Linked DNA regions of Caenorhabditis elegans. The protein of the gene in region 2 interacts with the protein of the main gene of each other region in a pairwise test. Each region holds a gene or a part of one and is shown on either strand. Other genes may lie near its edges.

The links.
Region 1: the proteins of nhr-10 (region 2) and nhr-137 interact in a two-hybrid assay, tested with the Caenorhabditis elegans proteins (one large-scale study listed by BioGRID).

Annotation. Positions count from the first base shown.
Region 1 is NC_003284.9:6,660,071-6,674,130, forward strand, and holds nhr-137 (Nuclear receptor), read right to left. Parts: upstream 8,942-14,060; 5' UTR 8,775-8,941; coding exon 8,622-8,774; intron 7,454-8,621; coding exon 7,367-7,453; intron 7,312-7,366; coding exon 7,197-7,311; intron 5,993-7,196; exon of another isoform or gene 5,844-5,992; intron 5,612-5,843; exon of another isoform or gene 5,560-5,611; coding exon of another isoform or gene 5,412-5,559; coding exon 5,346-5,411; intron 5,124-5,345; coding exon 5,047-5,123; intron 4,045-5,046; coding exon 3,965-4,044; intron 3,635-3,964; coding exon 3,544-3,634; intron 3,448-3,543; coding exon 3,334-3,447; intron 2,724-3,333; coding exon 2,596-2,723; intron 2,437-2,595; coding exon 2,315-2,436; intron 2,204-2,314; coding exon 2,108-2,203; intron 2,061-2,107; coding exon 1,983-2,060; intron 1,932-1,982; coding exon 1,840-1,931; 3' UTR 1,715-1,839; downstream 1-1,714. Other genes in the region: col-172 (Nematode cuticle collagen N-terminal domain-containing protein), read left to right, coding at 12,913-12,978, 13,035-13,145, 13,191-13,326, 13,373-13,492, 13,538-13,887, 13,987-14,060.
Region 2 is NC_003281.10:7,108,294-7,119,772, forward strand, and holds nhr-10 (Nuclear hormone receptor family member nhr-10), read right to left. Parts: upstream 7,146-11,479; 5' UTR 7,142-7,145; coding exon 7,029-7,141; intron 6,414-7,028; coding exon 6,334-6,413; intron 6,289-6,333; coding exon 6,122-6,288; intron 5,639-6,121; coding exon 5,465-5,638; intron 5,420-5,464; coding exon 5,282-5,419; intron 4,927-5,281; coding exon 4,556-4,926; intron 4,501-4,555; coding exon 4,356-4,500; 3' UTR 4,002-4,355; downstream 1-4,001. Other genes in the region: odd-1 (Protein odd-skipped-related 1), read left to right, coding at 29-345, 606-1,017; B0280.7 (uncharacterized protein), read right to left, coding at 2,095-2,327, 2,423-2,530, 2,573-2,695, 2,745-2,891, 2,943-3,185, 3,368-3,548. UniProt on the Caenorhabditis elegans protein: Probable transcription factor that acts in a feed-forward loop with nhr-68 to activate genes involved in the vitamin B12-independent breakdown of the short-chain fatty acid propionate.

The DNA.
Region 1 (14,060 bases), on a different chromosome or scaffold from region 2:
TTTTTTCTCGGTGTCGACTGAACTTGACTTGCCAGAGATTGTGCACATAACATTGGAATCTTGTTGGGAATGGGAATAACTAGCAACATTAGAATTATGTTTTATTTTTGTAAATATACTTTATTTCCACATACCTTTTATGATAATCATGTATCATTTATCTAATTTCTGTGATTTTCCTTCATTTTCAGACCACCTACCTACTTGATGTGAATGTTACTCATCTGTTTGATCTCAAATGCAACCAATTCAGATTACTTTGAATTTCTTGAAATTCAATAATAAAAAGTAAAAGTTGATTTTAAATTTACTCGTACAACTTAATTTACAATATTTAATTAGAGTAAGGTTGAAATGTGTTCATAATATTTGATCTCCTTAAAAGTTCTGTATTTTTATTCTTAGAATTGTTGTTTTATAAGCCGAAAAATGAAATTGAAACATGGAGTCCTAAACATAATAGCCGACAAAAGACCAAAACTTGAATCCTGAAGACTTGAGTCAGAAGGAAATGACCAGATATTAGTCAGATAAAGAGACTTAAAAATCATGTACCAATTTTGGCATGAAGGATCCCTGCGCAGAAAAAACTGAGCCTAATTGTGAAGTTTTTAGAATGAAGGACTAAGTTTGAATTTAGGCCTTGGTGTTTGTTATCCAAAATTTTGTTGCTGACACGTCTGTTTGGTAATCTATTTGAAAGAAGAACGAATACAAAAATTGTTTCCAAAAAACTAACACAAGAAGCTAGAAATTTGTATAATTGCATCAAAATAGTAAATGAAAATAAACCGGTTTAGATTTCAAAGCTCTAGTATTTTAGTATAGATACCGTATATTCTCTGTGAGTGCAAGCGCGGCATCCTTTTTTTAGTGCGAATGTCACCTAAAATAGTTGATTACTTTAATTGTTCATTTTTCTTGTTCATTTTTCTATGATTTCTTACAAAATTTCGATTAAACATTGCATTTTAGTGTCTTTGTAAGGCAAAAAGACAAATGTTTTTAAATGAATTTTCACATAAAATATGAGTTTTTGTGAACTTTGAAGTTACTACTTTCGAAAATCAAACAAACAGAAAAAAAAGTAACTTCGAAATAAAAAGTAATTATCGAATGTTGGTGCAACAGTCCCCAGTAGTCCAGCAGTCTCTAACAGTGCACAGGTCGCAAAGACCCCAGAAATTAGTGCTTGCCGCACTAATTTAATCTAAAAAAGTAAACTGGATTTTGATACCAGTTCACTCACAAAGAGCAGTTTTTTTAAACAGTTTTTTACCAGAAATCCGGCTAACATCCGCCAAAATCGGCTATCGGCTGACGGCAAATAAGCCGCATTGCTAAAAAAATACGATTAAGGGCTATTGCAGTTAATCGGGATAATGTTCAGCTAATGGCTACTTCGGTTGATATTAGCCGATTTGCCAAATTAGCCAATTGACAAAATCGGCTAAATTGACTATTAGCTTCCCACTCCTGATTTTAAACACGGTGGTCTTTGATTTTAGGAGCCCAAGTTGATTAGCAATGTTTTTCGACGTTTTTATATTTTAATTGTTTAGTAATTCACTATCATTTGCCATATGATCAATGTTGTAATTCTGTTACAAACAAAATTTGAGTAAATGTAAATAATATGTAATTTATTTTAAAAGCAGACGTTTCGAAGCGTTCTGTTTATGTTTGTTGCTTTACAGAAATTATTTGCAGAACATTTTTTCACATAAATATTTATATGACACAACACTTTTTCACAAATAGAATAATATACAAATAAATTTCTGAGATTTCATGAGAACATAGGACAATTGTACTACTTAAATTACTAATACGGCATGTTTATTTTGCTGGACGATAATCGAAAACACATTGTTCAATGAGAAAGTCGCGAAATTTCTGTCGAGAGTGTTCAGCTTCCTTCATTTTTTGCTCTGAAATAAATAAATCAATAGTTTAATAAATACTTCTCATGTGTAACATACTATGTGCGTGGGCTGTTTTGATGAACGTTTCGTTTAGTGCAATCAAGGATCCGTAACGTGCCGAAAAGTTAGTTGTATCTGAAATTTTCGCAGTTGTTGTCACGTTTACTGATCATTGGGCTTACTTTGTGTAATGAGCAAAACCATTAAGCAATGCATGCTAGATTTCACAGATTTTTCCAATTGTTCTTTGCCTTCCGGTGTTAAATTTTCCGGCGCTGCTGAAAACTCATAGTTTTCTATTTGTGTAGTCAGATTACAAATTATTTAATAGTTGAAAATTTTATGTGCTGATAGCTTTCCTGTTCCTGCACTATATTCTTTGTACCCACCAATTGTGAAAAAGAGCAATTGTAGTGTCAAGACCAGCTCATCGATTGTGAATGATTCTCGATGTAATGGATCCAAAATGCAGACAAACATTTGAGTAAATACGGCGTGTATCACAGAACCCCTGTAAAACACATAATTTGTGAACAGGAATAATCGCATTTTTTTTTCATCAGCCTAATAAACTTTTGATTCATCATCACAAGACACAATAGACACCTTATTTTAATTCCGATCAATCTAATCGTGGTGTTATCACCAATTCAAAACATCGGAAACTCACGAATTAGCTAGAGATTGCATGACATCAGTACCGTCGGGCATAACAACTGTTTTCTTTTTGTCAAAGTAGCTTTCAATTGCTTCGATAGCTATTGCTATTGTAAAGCATGAATTCCGAATAAGCTCTTCCTGTAAATATATACAAATGATCACAAAAGTATATTTATTTGTGTGTTTCAATTGGCTTAAAGTCAGTCTATAACTTGTATGATCATATAATCGATCTGTAGTATTCAGTATTTTCAGTAAGAATATTTGTGCAAGATAAAAAATGAGAGAATTGTTTTTTTTTCCAATTGATAGAAATATTAGCCAGACACGAGAATCATATAATAATATGCTCCGCTTCTATCCGGTTTTTTTTAATTTTTCGGTCGACTTTTCTCGTACATTATGATACTTTTTTGTAGGTTACCTTTTTATTAATAGTATGACTGCGTAGAACAAAATTGAGCACTGTGTGGTAGCTGTACCGTATAATATTTTCAATTTAACCAACCAACACGGGAATAATTATTCAAAACTTATTTCCATACTTATAGTTAGTCATAAACAATTCTAATTTTAAAATACCAAAAAGATTCACTTTTTTGTTTTTATAAATGGGCAGCATTTAGAGATATGGCTAGTACACTACCACAAATGCTTTACGACACATCTCCTAAACGATAACCAAAAAACACGTTCTTTACGCTGAGCAAATTTAAATCACCGGCATTTAAAAAATACCGTGTTTTACCTTATCAGAATCCGAAAATTTGGATAAATCAGGTAATTTTTTAGCAAATTCGATAGCACATAGTAAATCAATCGTACACCATTCAGGAAGATCTCTTTTGAAGTCGGTTTCTTCCTGAAATAGATAATCGAAGTTTATCAAAAATAGTTCTTCCCATCCATCATATATCACGATCGAGAAAAAAAATCACATAGTGCACGTGGGATGTACCTGATAATTATTTAGGTTGTCCAAGAAACTGGGCATAGTCAGGAGTGCACTGATGTGTAGATCTATCTTCTCCACGATTATATTACATTTTCTGAAATTATTTGTTTACTTTTTACTGAGTGTCTTCTCTCCTTTTGTCCTATCAAGTCGTTTAAAATTCTGTGAAAATGCCAATTAAGCAGATTACTGTAGTTGATTTACAACTTTTCAGTATAGAATCTCTCACAGAATAACGTTCTTGATGTCTAACCCTACAACAAGTTTCTTAATCATTATTTTCTGATCGCTGTCACTGCGAAAGGCAACAAGGAAGTGGTGGTGGTGATAAACGCATCACGTCTTCGCTATTTTCATCTCCATGTCTTGCAACTACCGACGGTGTTGGTCAACATTATTTTAAACGCGATAAAAAAGTCAATACCTGAATTTAGTGATGAGTCGTAGGGTTTGTCGCAAGCAAGAAGCCGTTTCGGTAACTTTCGGAATCGCGGTAGATGTACTCTGAACAATCTTAATTAGAAAGTTTAAACTCTCCAGGAAACATTTTTCTGATAAGTTTTGCAACAAGGAACAAGGATAGAAAAGGAAGTATCTTTATCATTTGTGATCACATGTTAGACAACAGCTTCCTCATTGAATACGAGGCCAACGGATAAAATTATCGAGATTTTTCCTTGTCTCTCTTAGTGATAATAAATCTCGAGAAGGGTTCACTATGGTTTCGAAGGATTTGGTCATGACGTCACTTTTTTTCTGATTACAAAGAACGTTCGCTTTTTTGTCCTCATCTAATTGAACGGATTTTAATCACGTTTGTAACACTAACGGCAGAATATCAAAGAAACAAGTAAAAGCGAACAAGAAATCAGAGTAAAGCTTGAAGCTTGATCCGATTTATTGGAATCAGCTGCACATTAAACGATGTTTCAAAAAAATCCAATGTGTGACTTCAAGTGTGATGTGTCAATCTTTGCAAAATGTAAAACATCACTCATCTTTTTAAAGGTTTAAGAATCGCATTTGAGTAAATTGTTTGAAACTAGTCATATCTCGCAAAAATGACAAAATATCATAGCAAAACTTTTCAAAACTTCTTTTAATTTTTTAAAGGAAAAGTAGCTTGAAAAACATAAAAGGAAAACAAAACAGCAGAAGGATGAAAAATCTATATTTTAAAATTCAATCCCATTTGAATTCTCTCCAAAATGAGAAGCTATGTTCAATTTAAAAAAAATTAATCAGCTTCTTTGAACTCTGCACACCCAGGACTTTAAACCAGCAGAAATTTTCAAAATTTCTCAAAAAGTGCATTTGGCAACATACCTAAAAGTTGACAAAAAATTTTTTTTGAAAAATCTAACGTTTTTTGGAGTGTTTTATCATGATATTCAGTCATTTTGGAAAGATGATAGTAAATTTAGAGTAACAATAATCCCACTGATGATATTCTACTTTTAAATCCCTTTGAATCGTCTCTTTACGGAAAATTATTGAAAACCGTACCGGTAGCGAGATCGAGGCAAGATAAGCAGTTTGTGGCGCGACTTTTTCTTCGTTTCCAACTATTCCTGACGTGACTGCTGTAACAAAACAATGATTAACTATTACACATGTTTTCAATAGTTTTTTTTCTGTTTGTAATGTTTTTCTATACAAACACAAAATGTTTTGATGGTCAAAATATGATAAGAACGAAGGTTGAATACAATGTGTTAGATTAATATCACATCTTGACCCCATTTTGAATTATGTACGCATGATTTTAAGATAAAATAGATTTGAAAAGAAAATGATAAAAATACCTTCTTTTCGCATTCCTTGTTGAAGACAACGATCTAGTCTGCAACTGCGACACTTGATTCGTGCTCCTGAAACAAAACACATGAAACCCTGTTCGGGGAATAAGACGATTAGAAAAAATAAAACAAAAACTGAAAGAGCCATTTGTTCGACGAATTCTGACTGATCTCGAATGTCGAATCCCAGATGTTTTTGGCGAGGACACTTTTGCCACATGATGTTACGCTATTTCTTGAGAATATAGACCGCTTATCTTACAAGTGCAATAGAATGATCACTGATTACACACCATTGCGTGCATTTTTGAACGATCTGTCGTCTGCCTACCAGAGTTCACATTATTATTTAAACTTATTCAAATGTGACTTTTGAAAAAAAAAATGTGTTGGCGTCAAAAAGTAAAGAACAAGAATAAATTCTCAAAATGTTTTTAAAAAAACTCAAATCCAGTTTAAATTTATTTTTTCGTAGTATGAAATCAAATGCCGTTTTCTTACAAAACCAAAACAGAATTTATAAGCCTCAACAAACAGATGGTTTGATTTCTGCTCTCAGCTATATGCTAATCGAAAACGAAAAGGAAGAAATGTTTGTAATTGAAGTTGATTTTTGTTAAGAAAACGACTAAACAACGGGAAAACGAAACATGCAACCACGACACATTCAGGTGACTCTGGTCAGGTCAATAAGGATTAAATATATTTCTTGATAGTTGCTGAACTCTATGAACGTTTTTTGAAGTGATCAAATGGTTGTTGAAAATGGAATGATTTTTCGAAAGGTTGAACTTTCTTGAATCATTTTTTAAGAAGGAGTAACGTTTTTATGTATTCTGAACGTATAAGCTCCAATTAACCATTTTAGTAATGCAACTTCTCCGATATTTTACGAAATTCAGATGGTTGTTCAAAATTTTGAAACAAAATCCTACATTTTGTTAGTCAATTTTTCCAGCAATCCGAAGTTGATTTACTTTTTTGAAATATCATCTTTTATTGCATAATTTGGTCGTTTATCTCAGGTTATTTCGTTGCTTAAAGTACACTGAAAGCTAATAGATAGCCAAAAATTGCCAAAAATGTTATCTATCAACTATGAATCCATCTTAATTAAATGTGAGATGAACGGTACCAATATACAATGAAGGATAATACTTTGAGAAAAAATGAACTTGCGAGAGCTGCGACACGGAAATACTGCTAAAATGTTGTTAGCTGAAACTATCTAATTTGTTGTAAACTTTGAACCGCTAAAAACCATTTTTTAAATTTTTTTTTAGAAATTTTCATTACAAAATTCGCTTATTTGAGCACATTTTAAGACTATGCAAGCTAAAACCCAGAACTGATACTTCTCTTTTAAGGGTTTATCACTTGTAGGTCTTTCGCCTTATTCTGTTCTATTTTGTCATGTTAGTATGAGTATAAAAGAAAAGTATAAAACAAAATCTAAGAAATACAGGACAAGATTTGTTTTGAAAAACGAATAGAAAGCTCAACAAAAGACTTTCCAAAGAATGTACTTCTTGGTATTCTTTCATACACTCCGTCTATATTCTTACTAATATCACTAACTAGAACAAAATGAAAGTACACCCCAAAAAGTTATTGACTAACTAACACCAATTAAAAATAACCATGTACTTGTTCGAACTGTTTCATGATCTATTATTTATATTAAAACACGATTTAAAACTCTAAAAGCGCACCCTACACTGTGTTCAACTGACCAAGTTCTTTTCATACGTCAAAACAAAGTACAACTGGAGACCGAATCGGCTACGTAATGAATGAATGAAACCCCTGCCACGCTTGGAATTGTTTGCAACTACAAACAATACTATTTGAACTTACCCGCCACGAGACGCATGTTTAACAGGCAATTTGAATCGCCGCGAATACATCGGTAACTAGAGCCCGAGAGAACACACCGTCTGAAAAACGTTTTGCATCCGTTGCAAGATGCTACCTGAAAAAAGTTAATTGTACCACCTGTAGTGCAGCTAGAACAACAATGAACTCACGTTATAATGATAGCCAGTGGCTGGATATAAGCAAACTGCACATGGTAGATCGAAAACTCTTCGTTCTTTAGCTTGTGACACGGTTGGCTGAAAAAACAGTATCTCACTTTTTTTTGTTTTCATTTTGTTTTAAGGAAACCCCTTGCCTAATAGATTTTTCCTTCAGGCATGTCGTCAACACGTTTATTTTACACGGACATTACAGATGGTTTAGTCAGAGTCAACCATTATTTATTCAGTGACGTTTTCACTCGCCACGAATTATGCTGAACTGAGTCATATTGGAATTATCAGTTTTTCTACTGATATGGATTGATATTTTGTGTGTGATGATAGATGTTTCTCACAAAATGTTCGAAAAATGATTTTTTTTTTCAATTTTACTTTTCACTGTAAAAAATGAATTTGAAAAAATTATGCAAAATCTCAACTAGACAATTGAGTACTTGAGACACTGTAAACGAAAAAGTACAACGGTTCAAAACATGGCTAAATTTAGTCCTTCCGGTGAAGTCTACGGCACTTAAATATCTAGTGACTGCCGCACTTCACGCACGATCAAAACACACCCCGGCGATCACAATTTGTCTAATTACTAAAATTCCGCGTGTGACTTTTAATGTTTCGAAAGGATAAGGATTAGGAATGGAAATTTCCACTACGAGACATGTGGAGTTTAATTGCAACGTTCACATTCTCGGCGTTGCATTTACTGAGCCTTAAAATAGAAAATTTGTTTACTAGTTTTCACATGCCCTTTCCCATAATACTGATCAGTAACATGTTGCTATCATAGGATACACGGACAACAATTTTATCATTCGAATTTCAGGTGCTCCTGCTTTAAAGTACGAAATTTTCGTAGTTTTATAGCACACTTTCCAAACAAAGCGAAAAAAAACCTTTATTGAGTTGTTACTGTAACACACCAAAAAGATATCAGAAGGCACAAGAATGATCTAAACAGGAAATTGTTGCGCGCCACAGAATCGAGAGGGAATAGCATAGGATCCTAGAATAACTAAATACAAGCCATATCAGTGATGTGTCGACTTTTATTTTCATTCGCTATTGGAAAATACGATTAATAGGAATTTTAATTTTCAATTTTTTTTGTGATGCTTATAATAGTCTAGCTATTGTTCAAACATTTATGGCTCGCAATATTGAAAAAAGACAGTCACTTGATTTAATCGCTGTTACGATGAAATCCAAGATAACACAACTGTCTCCCTCTGTTTTCAGTTAGACCTACCTTTGGCGAACTCGATTTTGATAATGATGGTGATGGTGTCGAGTTGGGAGTTGACCACGAATTTGAAGGTGCGTAAGACAGTTCGACAGGGTAATCGGAAGAGAAAGAAGGAAGAATGGTGAGACCGGAGAAAAGATGCGCGTTGAGGATCATACAGTCGTGATTTGGTCGCTGCTTTAATTGTTGTCAGAGCACACTGTTGCAATAGAGAAATAGTTAAATAGTTATGAATGAGAGTATATCGAAAAGGTGAGAAAAAAAGTAAAGGTAGAAAATCAGTATAGAAGATTGCTAGTTAATAACAATCGGAACTCATCGACCACCGAGGAGGAAGAGGTTTTCGGGTGGTGGGCGAGGACGAAGGCGGGGCCTTATGTTAAGATGCGCACCGGCAACGGTTGGTTCACCAGCGATTTGCCCTCCGTCGCAGCAGCAGCAAACTGTTGGTCAATGAACCGGGCCGCCCCTTACGGTCAGACGCCAGCAGTTGGAAGTAGCCCCATGAGGCCGTCCTTTGTGTCTAGTTTGATAGTGATGAGAAGGAGAAGGGATGGGACCGCTTGTCAGAGATTTGAATATCAGGAAGAGGAACGTGAAATGTCTCCGACTCATAATCACCTCAGTCCCCCGATGATAATAAAATAGACGATAAAGACTCAACCGATCAAGAAAACAGAACCCCGCAGCGTGATTCATAGACATGATGTTCATACAAATACTATTTGTTCATTAGAACAGTTATTTCAATATCCATATCCAACGCGTCTGCTTGAATCCATGAGTTACAGTTTTCGTGTTTTGTAGCCGGTGAATATACCATACGCGGCACCCCTGACTATCGCGATTTTCAATCAATCGGGTATCCTAACCGGGCGCACTGCGGAGTGATGTCATTTTTAGTAAAATCTTAATTTAAATCTTGGTACTCGAAGAGGAGGATAAGGAGGTATTACATGTATCGATTTTTTCTACGCTAATGACTCCAGGAAAACAAGGAATTGTTGAATCTAAATTGTAGTCGAGTTTGAGTACTTAAATAGGATACAAATACGAACGCGTTTCCACCAAATCAAACTTTAAATTTCAAATGGCGTTCCACAAATAGACATTTCGAATTCGACGACTTGTTTATCATTCCGGGTAGTCAAACTAGTATTCTGTAGAGTTACGTGGTATGCATATTATACAATTTTTCGTGAAAGAACAAAGAATTCTGATACCAATACCAACATGCCACCCAGTAGATTCACTCAAACAGAACGAGCACACGTTTTCTGGTAGGTGGCGCTTGCAAACTCTAACATCTAAGATGGGCATTAAAAGCTGATGAAAGTTTAGATCAATTGGAGATTTGTAAACAAATGAACATTTTAAAATAAGTTCAATCGGTAGTGAAGAGGCGGTATCCTCACATTTCGAAAACCCCTCAATTTTGTCTGAATTTTAAGTCAAGAAAACCAAAAGTACATCGTGAGATTTTATAATCCCGTTTAGTACGATGATTGCAATCAACATGTTGAAATAATTTTCAATAACTGATTAGGAATGATTAACAATTGCAAAAGTACAATAGTTCCAGAATGATTGTGTTTAAAAAAGATGTGTCACATTTAAAATATTTTATATGTTATTATTTTTAACATAAAGCATCTCTTTGTGCACCTATAACAGGAAATTGAAAATAAGTCCTGTTGGATATAGTAAAATATGTACGATTACTTTATTATCCACATGTTAACAACTTTAAAAAAAAGTAATTTAGTTGTTTGACCTTTATTATTCATGAAATATAAAAAAAAACAACTATATATTATCAAAAAAAAGACACTCATATAATGATGAAATTACAACTTTTAAAAAACCCGTTATTAAAAATAAAAAGGTTTTACTTAACAGGATATAATGGCAATTACTCAGTTTTCACCTATCCTAAGTTTGAAAGTCGACCAAAAAAAATTGTTTTCTACAAATTTTATATTTTAATTGAGGTCTAACTATTATTGTAGCATTCCCATTTGCTCGAGATTTTTTAAGTGTTTTTTTAATCCCTACTGGAGCTACTCCACCTTTTAAAAATATTTCTGCATTCATGAAAAGTTTGAAAGTTCTTGAAAAACTGTAAAAATGATGATAATTCGTTCATTTTCATGATTTTACAAGTTTACAGAAAAATAATGTTTTTCATTTTGTAATGGAACTAATTTATCATAAATTTCGGTTGAGATAAATGTGCACATTTAAAAACGATTTTGATAAAGTTCAGTGGTAACCTATTGAGATTCATCTTTGAGTAATACTGTATTGTTTACTTTACTCCCAAAGGTCTTTGCGCAGATGAATAATATGACTAAAATTTTTAATTTTGGTAAAGGGCTAAAAAACCTAATTAAACTCCAATATTGTGAAAAACTTGTTTTAAAATGTACCACAAATGAAGTTTATATTATAAATTACTTACAGTTTGTTCAACTTTCCCAACTGATTCTGATATTTGTTTCGTCATTATGGGATGTATTTTGTAGACATATAAAGAGCGCAAAAATAATTTTTTCAGTAAAATTCTGGTTGCAATGGACGGGCTCATTGTCTCTCTCTCTTGAGCTTTTATAAATGAGCAGTTATTAATGAGAGGGCGTGATATACGTTTTGTCATGTTAGGATGCGCTTCAGTTATCTGTCATTGATATTTCATTCAGACTTGTGACTTTCGATTCTTAAAACTGCTTCAGGTATTCTTTTTTGTTTGACGTAAACTTTGAACACACTGACCTGTTACTTACTTTTCCCACCAATGTGATCACATAAGTCTGCAAATTCTGCAGTATATGCCCTTTGAAAATTCATTGACGTAATTTAAGGTTAATTATAGATGTGTTATGTTTTAAGCTTGAAATATATGCGTGTGTTTATGTCTGTTTTTTCCCTTCTTATTTCGACTGATCAGACATTTCATTTATACAAATTTGAAACAAATGGGAATTCGACACATTTGATGAACATTTTCACGTTTCTGTTAGAACAAGAAAAACATTAAATAAGAAAACATGTACGCATTTCTAAATTTTCCACTTTTACTTTTTCCATTAACTTTCACAAAGTCCGCTAGACGATTATGTTTTGAACAAATTTCCAAAATGCCACTTGCACTATTGATCTACCCGTTCATATCTTGCAAGAATCTCAATGAATACGGACACCCGTACCTGTCGGCGTTTTATCTAACTTTTTCTGGTTGGAAAGGCAATAAACACTTTGAAAAGATGTGAAATCATGAAAAAAGGTAAGACAACTATAGTGACATAATTTTTTGATTTCTATGCAAAACGATATATTTTCAGTTTCAGTTCAATTTTGGAAACATTTTTTATACACACGCACATACAGTACTGATCAAAAAGTATTGCTTTTTAGTTTTTCAAGAATTTTATTAGTTTTCCAAATGTGTAAAATTCAAAAACAATAAATTTTATTGAAAGATGTTATTCAAAAATAAAAATCCAAAAGGGTCTTACAAATTGTCTGCCGCTTAATTTTTTACTACGACTTCTTGGAATATTTAATATATTTAAAAGTATGGACAATATTTTGTGATTAGATTGCTTCTCGATAGAATTTCTACTGTCTGAATTGTAACCATTTGCAAAACAACCAATTTAACGAAAAAAAGGCGATGTTTTGGACAGCATAGTGTAAATTTTATTGAAATAGACTTGGCCAACTAAAAGATACGGAAGTTCCATGTTTAATAAAGTAAATTAAGTTTTAATCATTTGAAAAATGTATATTAGGAAAAAATGTTTTAACATATTACGAACTATTCATAATATCTACAATAACACTATGAGAAACATAATGTCAGACGGAGCAGGCTTTTAAGAACGTTTAATTTTCTAGTTACATTTAAACGTTTTCCTTTACTTATAATTTTAAATGCGCTAAGTATTTTGCAAAATACGGAAACAACATGATCACGAGGCAATTTTGCAGGTTTTCGATCCGTAGATAAACTATTCCGTTTCCAACTTCAAAATGAGGAAAACCAGTCAGAGAACCGCAATCGTGGGCCGGAATCTTGTTGGAAAATTTGCATATAAGTGGGCCATCAAAGGCAGCGATCACACACCATTCTGATTTCCCTCACTTATTTACATTTCTTATCCAGCAAAAAGCTTTGCCGACCGGATCCAGACTGTGTCGGCTGCTCAGCGGGAAGTAACTGGCAACGATAGTATAAAACGACGCCTTAGTTTCATTTCAATTCATTCTTTCTTTACTATCATATTTTTTCGTCATGGATTCTTCCGAAAAACAGTTGTGTGCTGAAACTGAAAGAATAAAAAAGACTGCTTTTTTATCTGTAAGTACATAATTGAACCATGGCAAATAATTCTACTATTTTAATTTTAATTACAGGTCGCAATTTCAACTTTCGTAGTTTTTTGTTCAGTTGTAATGCTTCCTCTTATTTACAACTATGTTCAAACTCTTCAAACACACATGCTCAATGAAATGGATTTCTGTCGAGTAACATTTATCTTTTTCTGATTAAAATTTTCTTACCGTTTTCAGACGAAATCTAGAGACCTGTGGGTGGAGGTCGTTTCTGTTGACGGCGCTTTCGGTAGAGGCAAACGAACGATTAGATCTGGTGACCGCGCTAAACGAGAGTGGAGTTTTGGGCAGTTTTTCGAGAGAAGTCAGAGAGGTTTGCTGGGTATTGATTGTTCTTTTATGCGAATACTTAATTTCAGCAACTGGATCAGGGTCTGGAAGTTCTGGTGGCTACGGTACCTATCCACCGGCCCCTACGGTCCCTCCTACCTACGGAGATTACAAAGTAGCTGCCGTTGAAGAATTTCAGCCGGCTTCATGTACGTTTTGAAATGTTAAATTGTACCCAAAAACTAAAATTTAAGGTTGCACATGCCAACAAGGACCTGTTGGGCCAGCAGGACCACCAGGAGACGATGGGCTTGATGGTATTGATGGAAAGTCGGGAGTCGATGGACCACCCGGAAGAGATGGAATTCTCCTGCCACCCCTTGGCCAAGCTCCGGAACCATGTATTATTTGTCCACCAGGTCAAACTGGTCCCCCAGGGTTCCCAGGACAAAAAGGTCCAAATGGGCCACGAGGAAGCCCTGGACTACAAGGCCAAGACGGAAAGAAGGGAGAACAAGGAATGCCAGGTCCACAAGGTCCGACTGGAAGACCAGGTAGACCGGGACCCAAGGGACCAAAAGGAGAGGATGGAAGAGTTATTATGGTAAATATCTGTCTGCTTTTTGTCTGCTGTTTGCTTGTTCTATGATATTTAGTTTGAATTGATCTATAGAGAACATAATAATATTGATATTATTTGCAGGTTGCTGGACCCGCGGGACCCGCAGGCCCACCAGGACTTCCTGGAACCCCTGGAAAACGAGGAGCGCGTGGTAT
Region 2 (11,479 bases):
GTCAATAAAGTATTACTCTTTTTCAGGTATGACACTTCCATGGAATACCTTTCCAGGATCTACAGTTCCCCCTGTTGTACCATCTGTTGAGGATATAATTCGAATGTTAGTTGCCGGACAACAGAAAATTGCAATTCAGAATCTTCTTCAAAGTCAGTCGAAAGAACAAGTGAACGGAACTTCGCATGATCTACAAAACTGGTTGACATCTTTGTGCATAAGTCCATCATCTTCTCCTACTCCGTCCAATGCTTCTACATCTACAATTCCAGCACAAATGACAAATGAAAATGTTCTGCATTTGCAGATTCAATCACAACTATTCAGTAATCTTGGAACCCCATGGTGAGTTGTTTATCAACTTGGTTGACTTTTTAAAAAAATGTTAAACGCTTTTCTAAAGACTATGTGATGGATTGAAATTCCTCCAAACTGCTCATGCTCACTTCTCAACCAATCAGTGACTTTCCACTCAATTTTGAATGTTTCCAAGCAAAAATATCATTCGTCTTTTCCGCATTTAAAAACCATATCAAAAATTATATTTCCGTTCAATACTTGTAGCCTCATCGCTTTTTCTGATAAGTGAACTTCCATCATTGCAGGTTCCTGAACCCTGAACAGCATAATAAAACAAACAATGCAATTCGAAAGCGTCCAAAGAAAGAGTTCATTTGCAAATACTGTGCCCGTCACTTTACCAAATCCTACAATCTCATGATTCATGAGAGAACTCATACAAATGAACGTCCATTTCACTGTGAAACCTGTGGAAAATCATTCCGTCGACAAGATCATTTGCGTGATCACAAATATATTCATGCAAAGGAGAAGCCGCATAAATGTGAGATCTGTGGAAAAGGATTCTGTCAGCTGAGAACATTGAATGTGCATCGATCATGCCATCATGTGCAGGAACCCATTTCTGAAACATTCATGCTCGGAGCTATCAAGTTTGGGAAGGCAGACTCATTATTGATTGATGCTGAGCCATTGATCGATGTAACTACTATTTGAATTTGTGTGTATATTGAATGTAGTTTATTCTCTGATTGACTATCACCCAGAACACTCACATCTCTGAATCTCTTGAAATGATTCTCACCTATGTAGGTAATGTTTGTGTTTTTTTTTAATGTTTTATTTGAACTTAATAGTTGTTAGATTTTCTCCGATTCATGACCTTTTTAAATGATAATTTTTATATCTCTAATTGCAATGAGCCAATCCGGGCTTCGTGAACCTTTTTGCTTTTTTAGAGTTTTTTTTTTCTGTAAATTAGTCTTCTCATGCTTCCAACAGTACAACTAAAGATCTGTTCAATAATTTCCACACGCAAACTTTTATTCCTGTTAATATTTAAAAAAAACTGCTTTGTTATTTTGTTGCACCAATTTTCCAGAGGAACCACTAATTTTCCAAAACCTGATTTTGGACAAAGAAAATACAGATCAATAAATTTTTATTCACAACTTTTAAAGTCAATCTCTTATCTTGAAGTCTTCCTCGACTTTCTTGGAGCATTCCTTTCTACGTGAGCTTTCACAACTGCTTTCCAAAGAATATGCTCGAAATTCGGACGAACTTCTCTTCTGTGAGGCATCCTTATCATATTGAATTTCCAATGTTCCCTCCAATTTTGTGGGATTCCTCTTACAAAGTAACCAAATTCTTGGGAATCATCAGAAAATCCAAGGACGAAAAAAGTGAGAAGATTTATGAGAAGCAAACCTGAACGAGAGAAATTGCATTATTCTCAAAAAATATCACAAAAATTCAGTTACCTTTCATGGTTAAAGTGCCGCGATAAAATTATTGAGAAATTTTCAGAAAGATATCCACGGTTTTGTTAAATTTCAAACATATAAAAGTTATAGTTCACGCAAATATAAAACGTTCACTATTGTTTCAGCATTAAAAAAAAAGTAAATTTAGAAATTCCACTTGGTATGTAGCCCTGTTTTCAGACGCTGCTATTTTAAAGAGTGGAGAAAACCAATAAGAACAACACAATACTTAGTTTTTATTTTTGAGTCCCAAGAAAAAGTTTCGAATTTTTACAAATAACAAAACAAGTAAATGAAAATCTGATATTTAGAATTTGAACACAGATTTCAAAGATTTCTTCTTATTTTCCGGAAGCTTCTCAACAATTTTGTTCTCTTCGACTGGGCCTAGATCGTCACCGTTACTCTCAACAATTTTGAATTCTTCTAAAGAATTGTCACAGATGTAAACATTGGTTTGTGGATGACACAGGAAGATACAATCACGGGAAACTGGAACTTCTTGGCCAATTGGAAGAATTTCAGTTCCGAGGACGCATGCTGAAAAGGAAAAGGTTTTGATATACACAAACAAAAAACTAATCAGTAATAAAAAAAAGACAAAATACAATCTTTCAATTTGGACGTGTACTTACATTCCTTAACAATATGTCGATAGTTACATCTCATATTTGCACCCTTCTTCACATCAGTCCATTGACTAGCATGAGCATATGTTTTGTTGTCCATTGTACAAGCCAATTCTGAAATAATTTAAATTAATTTAGCCGTGAAGTTGAACATACCATCAACATTAGCTGACTTCAGGCTGACATGTCCAAACTCTGACTCTACACATTTCACATATGATCCGTCGAGAAGTTGTCCAAATTCATCGATAAGAACTCCGAGTTTGCCAATCACACATCCTGAAAGTCCACAAAAAAAATTGAAAGCTAGAAATCTACAGTGACCAACCAACAACGTGACTTTCATAGTAACTGTAATGCGGACGAAAACATTGCATGAGACGTCCATCAATTGATGTATCATTTGGATTGACTTGTGGTTCAACCCATTTCTCTTCTTCTGGGTAGATCGTCTCATTGAAATAACAACCAGCAGCTGTAAATAATGAACTAGTTTTTTCGATTTCATGAAACATTCAGAGCTTACCTCTCTCAACGACCTTTTTCAATGCTCCACCATAAAGATTGCAATGTAAAATGACAGTTCCATTACTGAGACTTCTTGTCTCTCCTGGATGCATTATTTCTCCTTGTGTATCAATACAAGCAATCGCTTCATAATTCAAAACTCCATCCTCTCCTTCTTCACAAGAAAATACAAAGTCATGTTGGAAAGTTCTCTCTCCTGGTTTCAAATAGTTATCACCATCAACGTTAGTCGGAGCGCAACCTAGAAATTCAGAGAGTTTGAGAAAAATAACATTAAAAGCTAATTGTTCGTTAAAAAAACTATATTTTAAAGAAACGATTGTTTGGAGATGTTGAAAAAATGTTTTCATCATATTTAATAGCAGCTCTGAAAAAGAAACTTCTGAACGCCAAAAACTTGAGTTTTAATCACATTAGACTTACCCAATGGAACAATCTTGGCTTTTCCTTGATTTCCCTCGAAGATATATTGAAACTTGATGAAATTCTGTACCCACGTCTTTTTCAACACATAAGGTTTTGTGAAATTTCTATCAAAAACTGCTGCAGAATCAGCATATTGCAGACAAATTACAGCTAGAATTGCAGCACCAAGGTTTTTCATAATATGATGTTTTTCGAAATAAATATTCCAATATAGCATCTCATTTCAATTGGTCATTTTATACCGTGTGTGGTCTGTAGTCTCTTGTTTGTCAACACTATTTCTTGTAGAGGTGTTGCTTTACGAACTGTTTAGACAGCTTTCAGTGCAGTGGTCAGTTAAAATAATTAAATGAAAAACAGCAGGATGTTATTATACAAATGAAAAAATCTATTTATACATGTTTACGAATTCAAAAATGCAATTCAAACGTAAATATTAACCAACATGTGTGTTTTTAGATAAAAATTTGAAATTTTGGCAATTCAGATCTATTCACAATTTCAATCCGAGATTTTATGTACTTTAATGAGTTTTTTTGTAAATTTTTCGTATTTTCCGTTTTCGGCAGTCCGCAAAATTGTTGGTTTAATGTCAATATCTGAAATCTTGATTATTCAATCAAAAAAACACTTTTAGAAATTCGAAGTATTTATATATGAATTCAATTTTTAAAAACCACAAATCGGTATATTGCAAATCACAATGGAAAATAATCGGAAATTTGGCGAATTAAAAAAATAACTTGAGGTGTAGAAGATGAACATTTTCTAGATGATGATGAAAGATTTTGACCCGTTGGCAACAATAAATTCATGGTGTGATTAGAATTAATATGAGTTGGAAATAAAATATCACTGATTTGTAAAACGGTAAGGCACAGTTGATGGATATCGACAAAATGTAGAGAAAGAGTTATTACCAGATATGGGAATGAAATTATACTTATGGATACGCTATGACGATAATGGAAACTGTTTCCATAACCTATTCAGTCTTGATTCCAAACAAAAGTTGTTTGGCAAACGTCGAAAATTGGATTTGATCAAAGAAATCAGCAACAAGAACTGCTTCTTTCATTTCAACAGCCATTGTGGCGAGGACAGTACCGAGAAGAAGAAGACGTCCGAATCTGGAAATATTTGAATTTTAGTTTATGAAGCAATAGAACTTGAGAAAAAACAAACCTATCCCCAGCATCTTCTGCTCCTTTTTTCTTGACCATATACCGATAAAGAGCATTTGTAATTGCACTTCTTCCATCACTCAACGTCTTTTTTGCATTCGAATCAACATCATCAGCGTCTGGATTCAAAAAGAAAATTGCTTTGAATGCAGCAAATTCAGTCATGTCAATTTCCATTGATCTCATTGGTTTCAACAATTGATCAAGCATTTGATACTTCTTTTTGTTGAATCCAAGAGGACGAGTTGGTTCAGGTGTTCTGTCAAAATAGGCACCGTCTGGGAAGACAATCGTGTCAAGACCATGATCTGGAGAATTGAATACATGAACCAATGATGGATATGTGATGGCTGAATGTCGAAGAAGAGCAAGCTGAAAGAATAAATTAGGCTTACATTAGTGAAAATTAACAAAAAAAATAGATTGGCAATTTAAATCTAAAATCAATATTCTATAGCTCGAGCTGCAGAAAATCAGCTGCCCGATCATTAGGCAAAAAAGTGCATTGTGTAAAAGTGTAAAAATTTTCGCATATTCCAAGACCTGATGCCGGAATTTTTAGTCAAAATTTAAACATCACACGAACAGGTTGCAATAATTTAAAATTTCTTAATGCCCACATTTTCCAGATTTTCCAGACTTTAAATCTAGGATTCCACTAGAAACCTTCTTCTCATAAGTTTTGAAACTTTTTATGACGCTTTAAAGTCCTCACAACTACGCGTACCTTATCCGTGAATGGAAGTGATTGGAAAACTGGCAACGTCTTTGCCCATTCGATCATCACAAACCAGTCTCGTTCGTGCCAATAATGATAATCTGATTGATTTGCAAACCTGAGGGATGTTACTCGGTGTCGCGGTGACTGAAATTATTTCATTTTTAAGTGACTTCCAGCTAATTCACTAACCAAAATAGCGTGTTCAGCCATAAAAACTTCATCTGTAAGTAAACAATCTGATACAACTGCTTCTATTAGGGTTCTTGATGGCATATATTCTGCAAGTCTGAGTGCACAACACTTTTGTTCCGTTGATGATAATAACGTTAGGAAATTGTCTTCACTGCGATCATTTTCAGATACCTGCAAATTAAATTTATATATTAGCTTTATGTATAGACATGTGTAATTGAATTTTTTGTTTAGAATATCAGGTGAAATTATATTCTCTAGTTTCCTTGGAATTTGCATACTCTAGAGGATCAAGCACCAAAATTACTTTTCATGATTTGTGTTTAGCGTAGAAAATATAGTTGTTGAAAAGTAGTTGAAAAGTTAAATTTAATTTTTTAGTATTTTAATATATCAAAAAGGTGGGTAGTTCTGTTGGTTACTCCACCTTCGAAATAAAATCTTTTGGATTGTTTTATCGTGATTTTATTTATTTTTATTTTATTTTAATAGTAATTGAGACAAATTCCTAGAGACACTGCTTGAAAAAATAATGTTATTCGTTTTTAGACAAAATTAAAGTGTTACATGTTTTTACTATAATAAAAATTATACATAAAACTGAAACCCATAAATACTTAATGGCTCAATCGTTTCTATTTTTGAAAAATTTACCATAGCAGGTGAGCACTCATCACTGGCTTCAACTTTTTTAATTGGTGGATATCTTCGTGTTCTTTTTGTATATCCAATTGGATCTCTGTTCTGTTGAATTGCATTTCGATCCATTCCAACTTGTAAACATTTCTCAAATCGACAATGCCTACACGCACATCTGATACCTGAATTAGAGAGTTAAATCTACGATTTAGAATCATCAAACCAACTTTTATCAACTGGACATTTTCCTTGAAATTGGCAGCTAAACGTTTGGTTTTTCATGATTGTTCGACGGAAGAAGGTTTTGCTGAAAAATTATAAAGTTTAATCCGATTTTTTTTGTATTTTCCATTTTTCTTTAGTTAATTTCCATATTCCTAGCACCAGGTACATGTCCCTCTCGGACACTAAAAATGAAACTCTCCTACTTTCCTGCCTACAATAAAACCAATGCTTAAGGACTTGCCTACGATGGAAGCCAAAAATATATAAATTTGAACCTTTTAAGGTTCTACGTTTCCAATTCATTGATTCACCATATCCGTGCAAAATGCAAACACTTTTTTTATTCATAGGTTTTTCCCGAGATCCCCCAAAAACAAAAAAAAAGTTTATGCCTTGTGCCATAATTCGTTTTAATAAACTACGTTTCTTTCTGCGAAACATTAGAGTCTGATTATGACTTTGCAATCTCAACTTACAAATTCAGTTAAGCTTCTTGATTTTTGATAGAAATTGGATTTTAGTTTTCTTGGAAAAAAATCGTTGATTAAACGGAATGAGAATTCGCGGAAAACAAATAGCTAATTTTGCAGAAGTTGAATTCATTTAATTTCATGAGTTTTTGGTTTAAAGTTTAGAATCTCTTTAATTATTTTTTATTTAAGGGTTTAGAACAACAACAAAAAAACGAAAAACAAACCATCCATTACATGAGGGAACTCCATAATGATAACCAGTTGATATATCGGAACAAACCAAGCATACCTCTTCAGGTTGAGACGAGTTATTTGATGACGGACCTCCACCCGTCATTTGGCTGAAATTAAGACAAGATTTCTAGAAAAATAAGAAAGAAGTACATGCAAAGTACGAGGAAACTGGAAATGGAATGGATTGAGATGCAATGGATTAAAAATGAATAACGATTCCGTAGAAAGATAGTTTCTACAAAATCTCACTTTTCTCTGAGCTTCCTTCCTTGTTATTCAAGAAATATTAAAATAATAACGAGTGTTCAAAAATCCATGATTTCTCAAAGAATTCGCAAAGTTTTATAAGAGAATATCAAAGAGTAGGAAGATTAGAAAATAATAATCCGTCGCTGAAAAACACCACACTAAATCTAACTCCGAAGTATTACATTCAAAGTACAACATGTTATTCAAAATATTATGATTTAGGGAATTTTTAAAATTCTAATTTTTCATCAAACAAATTGACAAAGTTCAACATAGTTTCCAAAACAGTTCGAAATTTTATATTTTCAGCCAAAATTTCTTTAAGGTACTTTTTAAAAATTAATTCAAAAAATTTTAAGTGAACTTTTTTAATGCGATTTCAAGCTAAACCCAGTAGGCTTTGAATAGATTATGTTGCAATTTCGTGACAAATTTTATAAGTTTCTCATAAATAAGACAACGAGAAAAATGGACAAAAAATTGCTAAGTAGTTGTAAAGTTTTTCTCGTGCCAGGACTCAAAACAGTGATTCTCGTATAAAATATATTATAAAGTTTCATAAATGTTGCATTTTAAAATTCAATTTTAAGTAAACATTGAAAAAAAAAGTAATAATTCTAACCGCTAATTCTTCTATGGATTGTTCAATATAGCGCATTGCTAAAAAATTTCCAATAAAAAAAAACAAAATTTTGTAATTTTATAGCGACAAATACTGTCTGCCAACCAACTCTATCTTCAGTCTCTCCACACCTTTCACCACAAAAAAAACGATAACAAATCTCGTGATGACGTCGTTTTTATGTTTCGTTTCTCTGCGTATCTGAACTTTTTCTAAGTTTCAGATTACGAACGAGACAAATTATTTGCCTTAATTGAGATATCTCATAAGATTTAAGATTAGAAAGAATAAAATTTATTAATTAAATTGAAAGTGCTGAAGAAAGTATCACATTCTAGATCAAAAACATATTGTTATTTGGAAAAGGATACAATCAGATTCAAATTGTTGGAAAGTAGCAAGACATAGTATCTGAACGCATTGCACATATTCCCATGACTATTCTATTTTTGTCTCTGAACTTTGAATATGATCATTGAAACAGAATGTGAAATGAAATATTACATGAAATGGGTAGACATAAAGGACAAATAGAAAAGGTGAAAGAGACCGAAAAGTGGAAGGGTAACCACGGGGACAGCACAGAGACAGAGGGAAGAGAGTTGGTCTCGAGTGATGAGAGAGTTAGAAGGGCAAGAGACGACAGAGAAAAGATTGAGTTGATGAGAGAGAGAGACAGACATAGATATATTATTACAGATTTTAAATTGAGACGCAGAGATAGTTGGCATAGGGAAGAGACAAGATAGTGGAAAAAAGGTAGCAATTAATTATTAGATATTTCAACAACAGAAAGCTCACTAGCGGCGGGGATAGACATAATATTAGAAAACAGAAATATTCACACACACACACACACACACATACACACACACACATACACACACAAATGATCAAAAAAGATGTAAATGTAAAGGTGGTGTAGTCGAATTTTTATTTCTTTATTAGACTCAAAATTGTCTGAAAACGCCGAATTTCATGATGAAACTTCTTGAAAACTTTTCAAAAAAAAAGTTATGCCCTCTTGAAATTTTTTTTTTAAATTCAAGTTTTTATCAATTTGTTCTGTAAATCTATCAAATAGATGCTTGAACAGATGGTAGGTTCTCTAATCTGGAAATTTAATTTTTATAAATCATTGATCAAGCCCTGATATTATATTCAGTTGTTTTCTATAGAATAAAATATGTTTGATCTTTTCGTGCTCGCTGCAAAATATATTAAAAACTACCAATTTATCTAGAAGTTAAATATTATTTTCCTAGAAAGTTTTGAATAATGTTAGAACAATCTTTATGAATATTCAGCTAAACTCATATTTGAATAGAAAATTCATTTTCGTTTTAACTCATCGATCAGGTTATTTTAGGCCTGAAACTGGTTTTTTTCTAGTGTGTCTAGCACAGATTAGTTGAAAAATGTGACAATCGAAATTGTTTGTACAAATATAATATGTTCGAGAATGTGAAAATTCACATTTACTGTATAAGAAGGTGTATGATTTTTCAATGAAATGAGGTATAATGATAAACCATTTTATTCTGGCTTTCTGGCAAAGGGTGTTTATGTAATCGTCTAGGCATTCTAGGTTGATACAAAAAACATGCCTACTGCCAAAAATCACCTGAAACTTTCTTTTTAATATTTATTTGTTTTAGTTAAACCTTTAAAAAATTAATTGAACTGTGGAAATTTCTGAATCTACTCTGGGCAATTGCCGAACATGCACCGAAATTTAAAACTGCACAATTTCACCGTAAAAATAGTTCAACATCGCTTCAATAAAAATATCTAACAAAACAAAAATTTGTAAAATATAATATTCATGAAAACGAGTGAATAAGAAACATGATATCTGGGCGAATATGTCTTAGAAACGACCAAAAATCGCTCCGAAAAAGGAAATAATAGGGTACTTGTGTATTACATGCCTTCATTTTAATTTTCATTAATTTCTCCAATTAAAATAAACGTGATAAACATTTTTCCTCTTCAGGCTTAGAAAAGGATATTTCCTAAGCCTAGAAATACAAAAATGTGGTACACGTTTTTATTGTTTTTAACTTTAAAAATTACTCAAAAAATGAGGGCATGTAATACACAAGTACCAATAATAGTATCTAAATAGACGAAGAGTTGCTCAAAAAGTTGAATCTGATTTCAAACAGATACCTCCCAAAAGATCAGAAATCCAGATATTACAGCATTGCTCTTTTAATCCTGTTAGAATTGAATGCGCGTTTGTGTCTACACCGAGACAAAAATAAAACTAAAATATCTTGTAGATACCTGAATCAAAGTAGAAACACAAAGAGACTCACTGAAATATCAAGGAAAAAAAGAGAGAAGCCAGACATTTCTCTCTGATTCTTTGGAACTTGCAGTCTTAATGAACTCTTATGATCGCTGAACTTTTCTAACGAGCTAATCTTTGGTTGAATGAGCATTTATTTTCATCTGACGTTGAACACATGAGTCAGAAGTACGGCTTTTTGTGCACTACAATTTAATAAATGACTTGACGTCTTACCTTGACGAATATTTTAAACAATTAATTAAATTTGGTCCTATGCGAAAAGTCAACATGCTCCAAATATACACAGGAGAAAGAGCTCCACGTAGGCTCAAAAATGTTAATTGCTCACTGGATGGCTCACACCTTCCCTATTTCTATACACACCTGAAAATGTTTCATTAGTTGACGTTTCAACTTGAAACTTTAATGAAATACATAAAGATATGCTTCTATTGGATTTTAACCAAGGAATAAATGCAGTATACTCTCTCTCCTTATAGTTAAACAAACAAATACTTGTAGCCACCTGTCATTAAAAAGATACAATCTCCGAAGTCAGAATTTTTATAAAAAACTATAAAATTGATTGATAGAATGTAGGTTGCATCTTAAAAACTGTTTTCTATGTCTAAGAATTTGTGTTTTGTGTATGTAAAGATACTATCGGTTGTGATCAAAAATTGATTTCAATTGGATATATTAATAACATTTTTCCAGATATTTGCGTTCAAAAAACATAAAATTTGAAAAGGCTCTGACTATACCACTTCGGAATATAAATTAAATAAAAATGTCGTATCATTTTTTCGCCCACTTATCTTATTCAAATCCGACGATATCCAGCTCAACACTCAAGTTAAAGATCAAGACGAGTCACATTTGTTGAGGAGTAAATATAGAAGATTCATGAATTATAACTCGTCGCAATGATAATATTCAGGTGGAATCAGAGAAAGATTTCCAAAAATGATATTACTTCTTACTTAGTTAGTCAAAGACTTGTGATACAATCGAAAATTGGAAAATGAATAAAAGTTACACATGTCTTGTAACTAGTTTTTGTGCCTGCCTGTCGACTTTATAAACTCTATACATTAGAAAATAAATAATTTTAATCTCTAGTTCCTAAATCCAAAACATTGACATCTTAATTGATATTTTAAATTGAGTCTTTAATAAATTTTTTAACTGACTTATAGAAAGAACATATTTTTCATGATAATTGTTAGTTTTGTGATATCGTCGTATTACTAGAGGAAGTGGACTTTACAATG